Schizosaccharomyces pombe: one gene and its partners. The protein of the gene in region 1 purifies or fractionates together with the protein of each later gene. This does not show direct contact. Each region holds a gene or a part of one and is shown in the gene's direction. Other genes may lie near its edges. The genes, in order: apc13, apc5 and apc14.

Region 1 (2,838 bases):
CTTCGAGTCTTTGCAATTTTTCCTCTTCTCCTGTAATAATTATTTTACTTGAGTTTAAGGCGGGTAAGGTTTGAAGCCGAGGGATTGAGTCGCTGCAAAACGGTAATGTATAAATATTAATTGATTCAGTAGCCTTCATTCCGGCAGTACTAGAAAATGCTTTTCCAACGAGAATTGGCTGAAAAGATACAGAAGTTGCAATAGCTACTACCGATAATCCTCTGATTTCATCCATTAATGCTAATACGCGAATTCTAGCATGTTCAACGCTGCAATAGTCACCATAAAAGACAATAAAAAAAGAATTCTCTGCGTTCTTTTGACATGAAAATTCATGCCTAGTAGACTCTAAATGCCTTTGGTAGAAGCTTTGTTGTTCATTTAATCGATTGCTGAATCCGCTGTCAGTACGTAGCTGAAAATCGATATCATGACACATGGAACGATGCATGATATAAATTTTTGCTCCCGTTATTTCCGTTATTTTGTCCAAATGTTTCATAGTGTCTTCATAAACGTACCCATCTTCATCAAAAAGGAGGTTTTCGAGGGGTTCTTCGAGCACAAGTTTGCTGATTAGAATTTTGGGAATGGCTTGCAAAATCTTTATTTTTGCAGTGTACACATTTTTATAATTTCCTGAAACAGTAACCACTAGTTCATTGCGGGAAGATGATATGCTCATTCCTTTATGTTTGACATGTAGTTTTATATTAACTGGCAACTCTTTTTCTGTCTCAATGCACTTTTCTTCGGTTAATCTCCTAATTTGAGAGTAAATATCGCTTTCATAATAGTCACATTTACTAGCATAAAGGGATGCCTCTTCGGGAGGAGGTGTAGATGGATCAGGAATTGGAAATGCTAAAACATGAGAATCCATTTTGGTGATTTTAAGCACAAAATTTTCTTATTGTTAAATCGTTTGATTGGAAATTTCGAAGCTTAGTGAAGAGTAAGTTTTTCGTGTTCGAAAGAAAGATTAAAAGAAATCCAAAGGAATGATAAACGATATAGGTTTGAATACAAAATTATTCCGAAAGTTACTTCTGAAGGGTTGGTTGTTGGTTGTGTTGTTGCTTCCGTGAAAGTTATTGTTTAGCTTCCAAATGTAAATAAACAATGAATAAATCTTGGAATTGATATGCGATTGGCAATGAATGATAGCTTAAACTTTAATTTTTTGCTGAAAAATAAACAGAACGTTTTCGCAGAACGATGTGTATTGTACTAGTTTGACTGTGGAATACAAGTTTGTTTATGCAAAGGTAGACACATATATATATACAGCACATGACTCTAAGGTGATGCACTAATGACTAGGAATACTTTTAACATAACCATCACAATTTTGTATTCTTTTTACTAATTAGGATGGCTGATTTATGATCTGCCAAAGCCTCTTTAACTCAAAACAGTATATGATTTGCCATTGACATTTTTTCAGAAAAGGGGGAATATGATTATATGATTGTGAAATATACGCTTAATTTTTCATTATAACTCTGTCAGTATTGCTAGGGTTTTGGACACAATCATAGCTTAAGTAAAACATTGCACTATTAGTGTCATTCTTTGAAATTTGTAAGCTAAGCAAGCACATATATTTACCTTATTTATCAAGAAAAATAACATGCCAATAGGAATAAATAGATTAAGAGACGAAGGTTTTGAGAAGAATAGTAGCAAACCACCTAACTGATTTTTATTTCTACTTAAAAGTTCATAGAATTATGTGAATAAGAAATTAATCTAGAATTCTTATAATTGATTTTCATGGAAAGATCTCCCTCCCCCCAACTAGTAGACTTTGCTGCTAAATGCTTTGTTTACACACTTACCACCGACTTCTCCAATAACACCAACCGTATAAAAGCACCATAAGTCTCCTACTTGGAATCAGTAAAACAATTAATGGATTCGAATTACAATTATGTTCATATGAATAAACCGGGAGTAGTTTTGTTTGCCTCGGATTGGCTAAAAGATAGACTTCCAGTTGACGATGTCGAAGTGCGAGTAGAACACTTACCACCTGTTACAGAAGATGAGATGACTATTCAACATTCTAGTGCAAATCTAATCTTAATGAAAAACAAACAGCTTAGGCATGAACCGGCTTGGAAAGATTTGGAACTCGAAGATTTAGTTAATGCCTTTGCATTCATTCAAGGCTCTTCAAATGCCGAGGGTAAAAATACAATTGAAGATAATTTTGAAACAGATCCTTTCAAATCAGTCAAAGAAGCTCCAATGGCTCCTTTTCTTGAAGCGAACAGAAGGCATCAAGGAGAGCACGCTAGTATGCGGTATTTTAGATGATATACCTGAGGTTGTACGAACCAACAGTCGTTAATCCATTTCGGCTGTGAAAACTTAAATAAAGTCTACTCAAAAGTCATTGTATGTACACTTGTCCTAAAACGTGTACATTGACTTTGAAGTTTTTTATCGATCGATTCCACACTGATTATAGATTATCCAAACTTGCTATATCATTCTTTGATCAGAAAAAGAACAAGATGGCAGATTCGATACCCGTTAAGAAAAAAGGCTCAGCTAAAGGCCCTCCTTCGTTCGTAACGCCTGAATACATAGAGAAACAACGCCAAAAAAAACTTGAGAAAATGGGTATGAAAAAAAATTTTCGTTCATCTAGTCGAGCAACAATAAGAAGGTTGTTGTGAAACTTTTTTTAAGACCGAATCTCTACTCCTTTGTTTAATTTTTTGTTGCTCAATTTTATTAACTGATTATTAGCTAAGAAGGCTGCTCGAAAACCTATTGCTCCACCAAGCAATGCTCCACCCGAATTCAATACGGACTTTATAAAGCGTG
Region 2 (5,518 bases), on another chromosome or scaffold:
TATTATATGATACTGAAAATAACAAGAAATTGCATTAACTTCTAAAATAAAATTTGACTAGGAACCCTTCTTTTATATATACATGAATTCGCTAAGTCCTCGGATCCCTCAATCCGGTAATACGCTGCCAAATTGAAAGAGTTCAAATCGCTTTTTATATCCGGCTACGAAGGGGGATCTATTAACCAGCATATTGACAAATTCCCGACAGCGATAATGATTTTGAAGGGGAACGGATAGCTGCATTCATGGTTTCAGGAAACGTGCAGAACTTTTTCTCTACGGAAAAAGAAGTTTGGTTTCAAAATTTTACAAGTAAGCGAGTGCTTACGATTTACTTGTGTAATAGAAAAATATTAATGAATGTTGTTAAAACTGACTTTTATTATTGATATCCCCACGTGGATGTCCACATTTCAAGTTGAAAGTGCTTTTCATGAGCGAGGCTTCCTGTCGAAGATTTAACTGTTTAACCCAAGCGTTGTGTAGAGGGGTAAGATGAATTAGTAGAAAAACTTTAGCTAATATTTTAATAAATTTAAAAAATGAATAGAATTAAGCGTAGCTTAGACATCATTTGAACTTGCACGCTTGTATGATTATCCTTTTTCCTTCGATCGTTCGCTTACTTGATCAAAATGCCTAGCATTTAATTTACAATAGGGACTTTAGTGCATTTAGAGTATACGTTAGAGATTAACCATACTTCGATTGTGTATTTCTTTGATTTCCAATTTTGAATTTAACTTACCTTACTTATAGACAAATATAACCCAATTAACATTTCTTATTCACAAACTTCGAGAGCTAGTTTTATTGCATTCGTTTAGGTAATACAAAACGAAAGTCTACTACAACTGAAATGGTGCTTTCTTTTTCTTCCCAAAATTTATTTATTTACCTTTCTGTCATTAAATGTTGGTCAGCAAATCAATTTGATAATTGTCAAAATGTTAAAAGGGCTTTGTGTATATTAAAAAAAAAAAAAAAAAAAAAAAGAATAAAAGCAATATTTCATCATTTCAATCAATTACTCTATTACTATCAGCTATGACACCCGAATTCTATGCCTACTTATGCATATTTTTAAAAAACCATATAAATAAAAATATGCACTTTTAAAAGGTAAAGGTTAATCGATTTTATTGGATTTATTTAAATAGCATTATTTTAAGCATTGATGATATTTTTAAAATGCATCATAATGAATATCTTTTGAAATTAATGCTTCACAGTTCACAATTAATACCCAAACAAAACATGAGTTTATAGAGACGTGAGTGATTTTTAAATAAAACTTTTCATATGATTATTACTCAATTTAACCCAATAGTAAATAAATTTTTTGTGTGTGCCTGCGAAAAAAAAAAAAAAAAAGAACTATAGAAACAATAAAGATGACAAGGAGAAAATAAAGAATAAAGAAAATCTCTTATAAAATTTGATATCTCAAGCTTTTTATTATTATTTTTGTCCGTTTGTTTATTTTTGTTTACGAACATTTATGAAGACCACTTTCAATCGTGGATAAAGCTGTAAAAATGATGCTTAAATAAAATAAAAATATTGATGATTATGATTATTAACTATATTGAGGTAGTTTATATATCATTCACAATTTCGGTAAGTTCATATGTTTATGCGTATTGTTGACAAATATCACTGAAGAACATAGGAGCAACACAAATTGAAAGAAATAAATATCCGAGAAAATATATCATTCTTGAAAAAATATTAAATTTTTACGTTTACTTCTAGAGATTTAAATGCTTGAATAGTTAGCATATCTTGTAAACATAAGACTACTTACCATAATACTCAACCATCGCACTTCTGAACGTATACATGCCATTTACATATTACTGTTCCAGCCTTCTTCGATAAAGAGGTTTTATTTGGTACATAGAACATTCGAACTGTTTGTGATTGAGAAAATTTGGTGCATTGCTATAAATTATAGGATTGAGAGACGATCGTGTACTGCTTACCTATTTAACCATGCAGAGTCCCGCGATGTCAATGGTAACACCAATATTTCCCATACCTTTAAAAACAAATTCTTCAAAAAAAAATTTTTATACTACCTTTTTGACACCACATAAATTGACGCTATGTTTGCTTATTGAACTTTATGCCCATCGCATCATTCAACCTCAACATTGTGTGCCCTTCCTAGATTTGGTATTGGGATATTTTAATGTAAGAACAACTGACTGAAACAAGATTCTCTTAATCTCGAGTACTAACTGTATATCTCTAGCCCAATGACTCACAACCACAAACACTGACTCGAATTCACGACATAACAAGTCACCTTCCCAGTTCAATTGAAGAATATAGCGTTTACAGTTTATTGCATGAACGTGTATGAAAGAATCATATCAAAAATTGTATTCTAACAACTTTGTTTTAGCTATGGTCCTTGCATTCTTTTGAAGATATTCATGAAATATTCATTTCTCTTGGAAACTACATAGAAGGTGTTTACGATTCTGAAGAAGAGGCCCCCCATATGCTTTTTTCATCGTCTTCACTTTTATCTATTTTCCTTCGAAAGTGTGTTGTGGAATACGAGCAGTTTTCATTCGAACAAGGGGTTCAATTCTTTAAATCATTTCTTCAATACAGAGCTCCCTCAATGGATTTTCAACATGAGGGGATTGAATTCTGTAAGATTAATGTTCGTCATGAGTTAATGAATTTGGCTAGCAATAAGACTCTACTACAGTTGGCATTTGGAAGTATACCAGGTTTGTTTAGTTAATTTGAAATTAATTTTTCCTAACTTTTCTAGTTTCTCGTTCTAGTCGGGATATTGAACAACTCACTCAAGTTCAAATTGAACACATGCAAAGTAGGTTTCATTGGAAAATTTTTAACAATTATATTAACAGCTTTTTAATGCATATTATCTAAGCACTTATTAACTGATTTACGCAGAATTTGGATGTGCTCTTCCATTGGAAATGAAAGAAAAATTGCATGATTTATTAGAAGTTGAAGAAAACAATCTAAATACTAGCTATTATTGCAAGTAAGATACCAAGCACATCTTTCCTGCTAGCAATTAACTAACATACTAAGATTCTTAAATTCCTGGTTTAGTGGTGATTATCAGCAATCCGTGGAAAATCTTTGCAGATATTTTGATCACATTATGCATTCTGATGAAAAGGTTTCTTATCAGTACGCTCTCCTCAATCTTGCCATGCTTCAAGCCGATTTTGGCTGTAATGAAGAAGCTCTTCATGCGATTGAAGATACGATTAATACTGCTCGTGAAAGCGGCGATACTGCTTGTCTTAATTTTGCATTGGCCTGGATGTTTGAGTTTAAGCGGTCACAATACTCGAATCCTTCTCCAGAAAAAAATGAAAACGATGATCAAATACTAGAACATCTTGCGCGTAATAGTCAAAAAGCTCAACTGCCTATATTACAGACGACAGTTCATCTCTTACAGGTCCAAAAATTTTTAGATGATGGATCTAGTTTAATTGGCGTTTTCTCTAATTTGACTAAGGCATTTGCTTTGTTTTGTGCTAATGAATCATTCGATGGTTTCCCTCGGTATATGGACTTGCTACAAAGCATTTGGTATCGTTTAGGATGCTCTATCCTTTCCATGACTTATATTTCGATCTATCAAAAAAATCACGTCCATGATTCTCCTGCACTCGACCTATTACAAAGTCTTATAACTAAGGCATGGAGGTACGCTGAATTAGGAAGATGGTTAGATGTTGCTACAATTTTGTCGACTGCTGAGGTTCAATCACAGCGTTCTTTTCAATGCGCACATTTATATGGCAGAGAAAAAACATTTATCTACTTATCTAAGGCGATTGACGAGTAAGAAATCATTGTTTACAAAAATCAGAAAATTTGCTAATTTTGAAAAGGAAAAATCATATGGATGCTACCCTGTATTTGAAAAATTTAAATGGCTTTAGACACGACAAGATGTCTACTTTTCGAACTCAACTCTACGCTTTAAGGTTGGATATTAGTTTGGGAAATTTAAGTCAGGTAATTAACAAAACATTCGTACCTACATATACTAAACGTGTTACTAGGCCATTGAAGGAATTGATAAATTATTGGAAGAACCGGAAAAACTGGCGATTGAATGGGTGCTGCAGTTGATGTTTTTAAAGGTTGACATTTATATGGTAAGGTGAAGGCTGATTTTAGGCTTATGCTAATGTGAGTGTTTAGAGGACTGAAATGTCAAATCGAGCTGTTTTTGAATTGCTGGAAATAATTCAAATGGCCTCATCAAACTATTTAAGATTGTATCTTCTGAGAGGATTATGCACTTTGTGCTTGATTGGGGAACTGGATTGTTTTACAGCTATCGATCTATTAGATTCACTAATCCCTGACATAATTGCAGCGGATAACAAACCATTACTTGCATTAGCATTTCATGCATTTGCTTCTTTGCAGATTAAACATCTTGACCTTTTGCAGCCTTCACGAATGTTTGTCATTCAGTTGCTTGATAGTGCTATTGATGGTAAGTTGATCAAGATTTTCGAGTTCAATCTCTAATGATTAAATAGGTTATCGGGCCTGTTACATGGTAGAGATGCAAAAAACTGTTGTCCGCCTGAAAATTCAATATTTACGACAAATTAATGATCCTGCACTCCAGCCCAACATTGAGCAATATTGTTCTCGATTCTATTCCGACAATTTGCTAAACTAACACTCGTTTAAATACGATTATACCTTCATACTTTTAACGACAAATCAGCTAATAAATATAATTAAGCAACGGATACTCATGATTAACTAAGATGTACATATATATATTTTATACTAAACGAGGATACGAGCACAATAAATATACTACTTTGTTAAGTCGATGTACAAATGCATTTACAAAAATACAACAATTAAAACTACGAATAATGTCTGATTATTTGATAAACTCCAAAGGAACAGCATTCTTTTTTAAAACTAGATAGTAGTATCATAGGCGACGGGGTGGAGAGTGACGGGCTCGTTATTCTCAGTAGAAACGAAATGAGCCGTAGCAGGAGGAGCAGGTTGACGACGAAGTTGAACAGTCTTACCCTGAGCCTTGGCCTCCTTACGCTTAGCCTCATTGGCCTTAACACGGTCCAAGAAGTCTTGACGGCACTTAGAGTGCTTAACGTGCTCAATACGAACATTGACACGCTTCTCCATGTAGCGGTTACCAACAACCTTGTAGATCAAGACACCAACAGAAGATTGAGTAACGTTGTAAACAACACCAGTCTTGCCATGGTAGTACTTGTGAGGCATACCCTTTTGGACAGCACCATTAACCTTAATGTCGACAATGTCACCAACCTTATAGGTCTTCAAATAAGTGGACAAACGAATTTGACCATGCTCTCTGAAACCACGTTGAAAGGTGTAACGGGTGCGAGCTCTGATACCGTAAGAATGAGGCATTGCTGTTCCTGGTTAAAGGCAAAGTACGCACGGAAATTCCATATGGTTTGTGGTGAAACTTTGTGACTGT
Region 3 (3,186 bases), on another chromosome or scaffold:
TTTTCCATGTTTCTATCATTTATCTCTGGTTAAATATCTAGACCGCTAAAAAAATCCCTTTCTTTCTCATACGTTGAAATGTTTGATAATCAACCTACGATAGCTTTGCTGAGGTGGCTTCATAAATGTATGTATAAAACGACTTCAGAGTTGTTTCACTGGTATATAATTAAATATTACATCAAAAATTTCCTTAATTTATTACGAGTACCCAGTTAAATAAACGTGTATTTTATTAACTTCTAAAAAGATGTGAAATTTGAAATAAATGTGATATTATGAAAAATAAGGAATCATTCCTCAACATGATTTTCAAAGTTTTTCAGTAAGCTCCGGGACGATTTCAAATAAGTCACCTACAATTCCCACATCTGCTGTTTGAAAGATAGGAGCATTTTCATCGCGATTTATAGCAGCAATGACTTTGCTATCTTTGATTCCGGCAAGATGCTGAATAGCACCATCAATTCCAACAGCAATATAAAGCTTTGGGGCGATGATTTTTCCAGTTTGACCTATTTGTAAAGAATTATCAGCATAGCCAGAATCCACGGCAACACGTGTAGCACCAATTGCTGCACCCAATTTGTCAGCCAAAGGTGTAAGGATGCGTTCAAATGTCTCTTTGTCTTTCAAAGGTCGACCACCAGCAACAACTCTTTCGGCAGAAGACAAATCAGGCCTAGCATTCTTTATAATATTCTCACTAACCCATTCTTGTAGAGCAGCTGGTTTTGGATCAATACCTTCAACAACAGTGGCTGCTCCTTCACCACTTGAAGGAGCGGCGTCAAATGCAGATGCACGAACGGTGACGATTTTAATAGGATCCTTTGTAGACACAGTAACGTTTACGTTTCCCGCGTATGTCGGACGAACGAATGTGTCAGCAGAAACCACACCAATAATGTCACTAATCTGCATCACATCAAACATAGCAGCCAAACGAGGCATCACCCCTTTACCAACAGTTGAATGAGCAGAAAAAACATGACTAATTTCATTTTTCTTAACATTTTCAAAAAGAACATTGGCTATTTGATCGGGAATGTTATGCTCATATGACGGATTCTCAACGTAGATAACCTTTTTCAAATCGTTCACCGATTTTGCTACCTTTTGAGAAATTTGAGAAGAATCCTTACCGATTACAAATCCAAAAACATCCCCACCGGTACGCTTTGCTGCTTCTACTGCTGACAAGGATGCTGGAGACAAGTTCCCTCCCTGATGCTCAAGCAACGTCAAAACACTAAACCAATGCCTTCTTCCACAATTTATTTTAAAGTTAGAAGAAGACAAAGCCCTAGAAAATGTCCGGCTAGTAGTCCTTAGCATGTTAGAATACTTCGTTGTAGGTTTGAGGGTGAATGAGGATGTACGCTGACAATATGTATGTTCACATATTATACTAAGAAAAAACTTAAGTAATACAGTCTTACATTTCAAAGGTAAAATAACTAAAAATAAGTAATCGTGATATATTTAAGTGATTTATCTACCAGAAATGATTTTTCGTGAGTATGAAAACATCCTAATTTTCATATACCTTACATTTATTTTTTTTGATAACCAACTGCCAATATTTTGACAAATTCTTTCAATACAAAGTTTAAAGTCTATAGCGATTGCAATAACTAGGTGCATCATTAAAAATAATAATAATGAAAATTCTTTTCAAATAAAAAAAAATATGAGAAACTCAATGTATCCTTCTTAGCATTACAGTTATTGAATCGTTCATCAACGTTAAAGTTCACTAAGATATTAGGAGACAAAAGGTGACTTCACTATTTTATTTTAATAACACACTCCACATTCTTATACCACAAGCATTGCTTTCTAACGATGGCAAGGAGTTTTGTTCAACTACGCACACAAGATAGTAAATAAACAAGAAAATCGGTGAAATTTCCTAATCACTTGTCCAAACCTCTTCACTTACTGCTTAAATACAAAAGAGATTACAATTTTCATATTTAAACGGTTCTCTTTTAAAGAAGAACAAATCAATGATTGAAGTCATTGTCTCTTAGTACTCACGGGGGTTTTTTTTACTTTTGTATATTAAAACGTTTCGAGGTCATATGGATCCGTTTGCTGGTACTGGTCAGTCCAAAAGTTATCGAACTTTTGGAAACGTCTTTCAAAGACTCTCCATGTCTGGCAACCCAAAACCTCTCGCCAAGAAACCACTTCTACTCCCTGAAGCTTCAAAAGCCATTGAATTTTGGAATTATCGAGATGTTATAGGTGGTGAAGAGGCCGAGCAAGAAAGAAATGAAAGGGCAAGTAGAATTGCAATATCCAGAATTGCTTCCAGCAGAAGTTCTATTCCAGAATACAGGCAAGCTATTATGCAGCATCTGACAAAACATGTTCAACAACTTGACCAGTTGGCTGAATGGTGATTAATGAGTTTATGATATAAATTCTTATCCTTTCAAACACCACATCACTAAACACTAAATTAATTCAAAATATTAAGAATAATTTCTGGCAATCTGTGTCTCAAGATAGTTTTCCGCTACTACCCTCTTGGTTGCAGCTTTCAGTTATCCTTTGCAAGTGTATCAATAAATTCTGCCAGCTTTAAATCTTTTTCTGTAAGTCCCTTTGTATCGTGAGTTGTCAACGTAATATCCACTTTATTGTATACATTAGTCCATTCGGGATGATGATTTAGCTGTTGTGCACGCAATGCGACACAGCTCATAAATCCCCAAGCTTCAATGAAGTTTTTAAAACGAAAGCTTTTAAATAGTTTTGTATCTCCTTGTTGAAGAATCCAGTTGTTTTTTGATTTCGAGACTAACGCCAGTAATCTAGCTGATGTGTTCATTTTTTCAACCTTCTAAACCAACGTTTATTCCAGAAAAAATGTTTTTCTTCAAAATTTAGGTAAAATATCAATGTGATGTGTGTAGAACGTAACTGTTTTAATACACTCAATTTACCTCCTTTTACTTTGGTATGTGAAAGAGAACGAAATCATATCGTCTTGTCTTATTCACAACATCAAAAGAGTAAATTTAGCTACTACGCTAAAAGAACCTCTTCTACAGAGGAGCATTAGAATTATATTTGTTAATTGTATAAACAGTTTCCTAGTTTTATTTCCAAAATAAATAAAATATGCTTGGTTTGGTCTTGTAGCATTTTATCCATCAGTTTTTATGGGTAAAT

The links.
Region 2: the proteins of apc13 (region 1) and apc5 purify together in Schizosaccharomyces pombe (affinity purification with mass spectrometry, with the first as the bait; one study listed by BioGRID). This does not show direct contact.
Region 3: the proteins of apc13 (region 1) and apc14 purify together in Schizosaccharomyces pombe (affinity purification with mass spectrometry, with the first as the bait; one study listed by BioGRID). This does not show direct contact.

What each region holds. Positions count from the first base shown.
Region 1 is NC_003423.3:1,834,372-1,837,209, reverse strand, and holds apc13 (anaphase-promoting complex TPR lobe accessory factor Apc13), read left to right. Parts: upstream 1-1,854; 5' UTR 1,855-1,914; coding exon 1,915-2,322; downstream 2,323-2,838. Other genes in the region: SPOM_SPBC28E12.02 (BICC1 family RNA-binding protein), read right to left, coding at 1-883; SPOM_SPBC9B6.11C (CCR4/nocturin family endoribonuclease), read left to right, coding at 2,406-2,631, 2,761-2,838. UniProt on the Schizosaccharomyces pombe protein: Component of the anaphase promoting complex/cyclosome (APC/C), a cell cycle-regulated E3 ubiquitin-protein ligase complex that controls progression through mitosis and the G1 phase of the cell cycle.
Region 2 is NC_003424.3:3,400,472-3,405,989, reverse strand, and holds apc5 (anaphase-promoting complex platform subcomplex scaffold TPR subunit Apc5), read left to right. Parts: upstream 1-1,847; 5' UTR 1,848-1,998; coding exon 1,999-2,199; exon of another isoform or gene 2,200-2,260; coding exon 2,261-2,365; exon of another isoform or gene 2,366-2,413; coding exon 2,414-2,750; intron 2,751-2,794; coding exon 2,795-2,854; intron 2,855-2,940; coding exon 2,941-3,034; intron 3,035-3,078; exon of another isoform or gene 3,079-3,084; coding exon 3,085-3,852; intron 3,853-3,902; coding exon 3,903-4,029; intron 4,030-4,063; exon of another isoform or gene 4,064-4,076; coding exon 4,077-4,172; exon of another isoform or gene 4,173-4,218; coding exon 4,219-4,519; exon of another isoform or gene 4,520-4,565; coding exon 4,566-4,711; 3' UTR 4,712-4,899; downstream 4,900-5,518. Other genes in the region: rpl2102 (60S ribosomal protein eL21), read right to left, coding at 4,966-5,448.
Region 3 is NC_003424.3:4,517,198-4,520,383, reverse strand, and holds apc14 (anaphase-promoting complex subunit Apc14), read left to right. Parts: upstream 1-1,876; 5' UTR 1,877-2,087; coding exon 2,088-2,411; 3' UTR 2,412-2,551; downstream 2,552-3,186. Other genes in the region: etf1 (electron transfer flavoprotein alpha subunit), read right to left, coding at 313-1,338; omt2 (4-alpha-hydroxytetrahydrobiopterin dehydratase), read right to left, coding at 2,552-2,842. UniProt on the Schizosaccharomyces pombe protein: Component of the anaphase promoting complex/cyclosome (APC/C), a cell cycle-regulated E3 ubiquitin-protein ligase complex that controls progression through mitosis and the G1 phase of the cell cycle.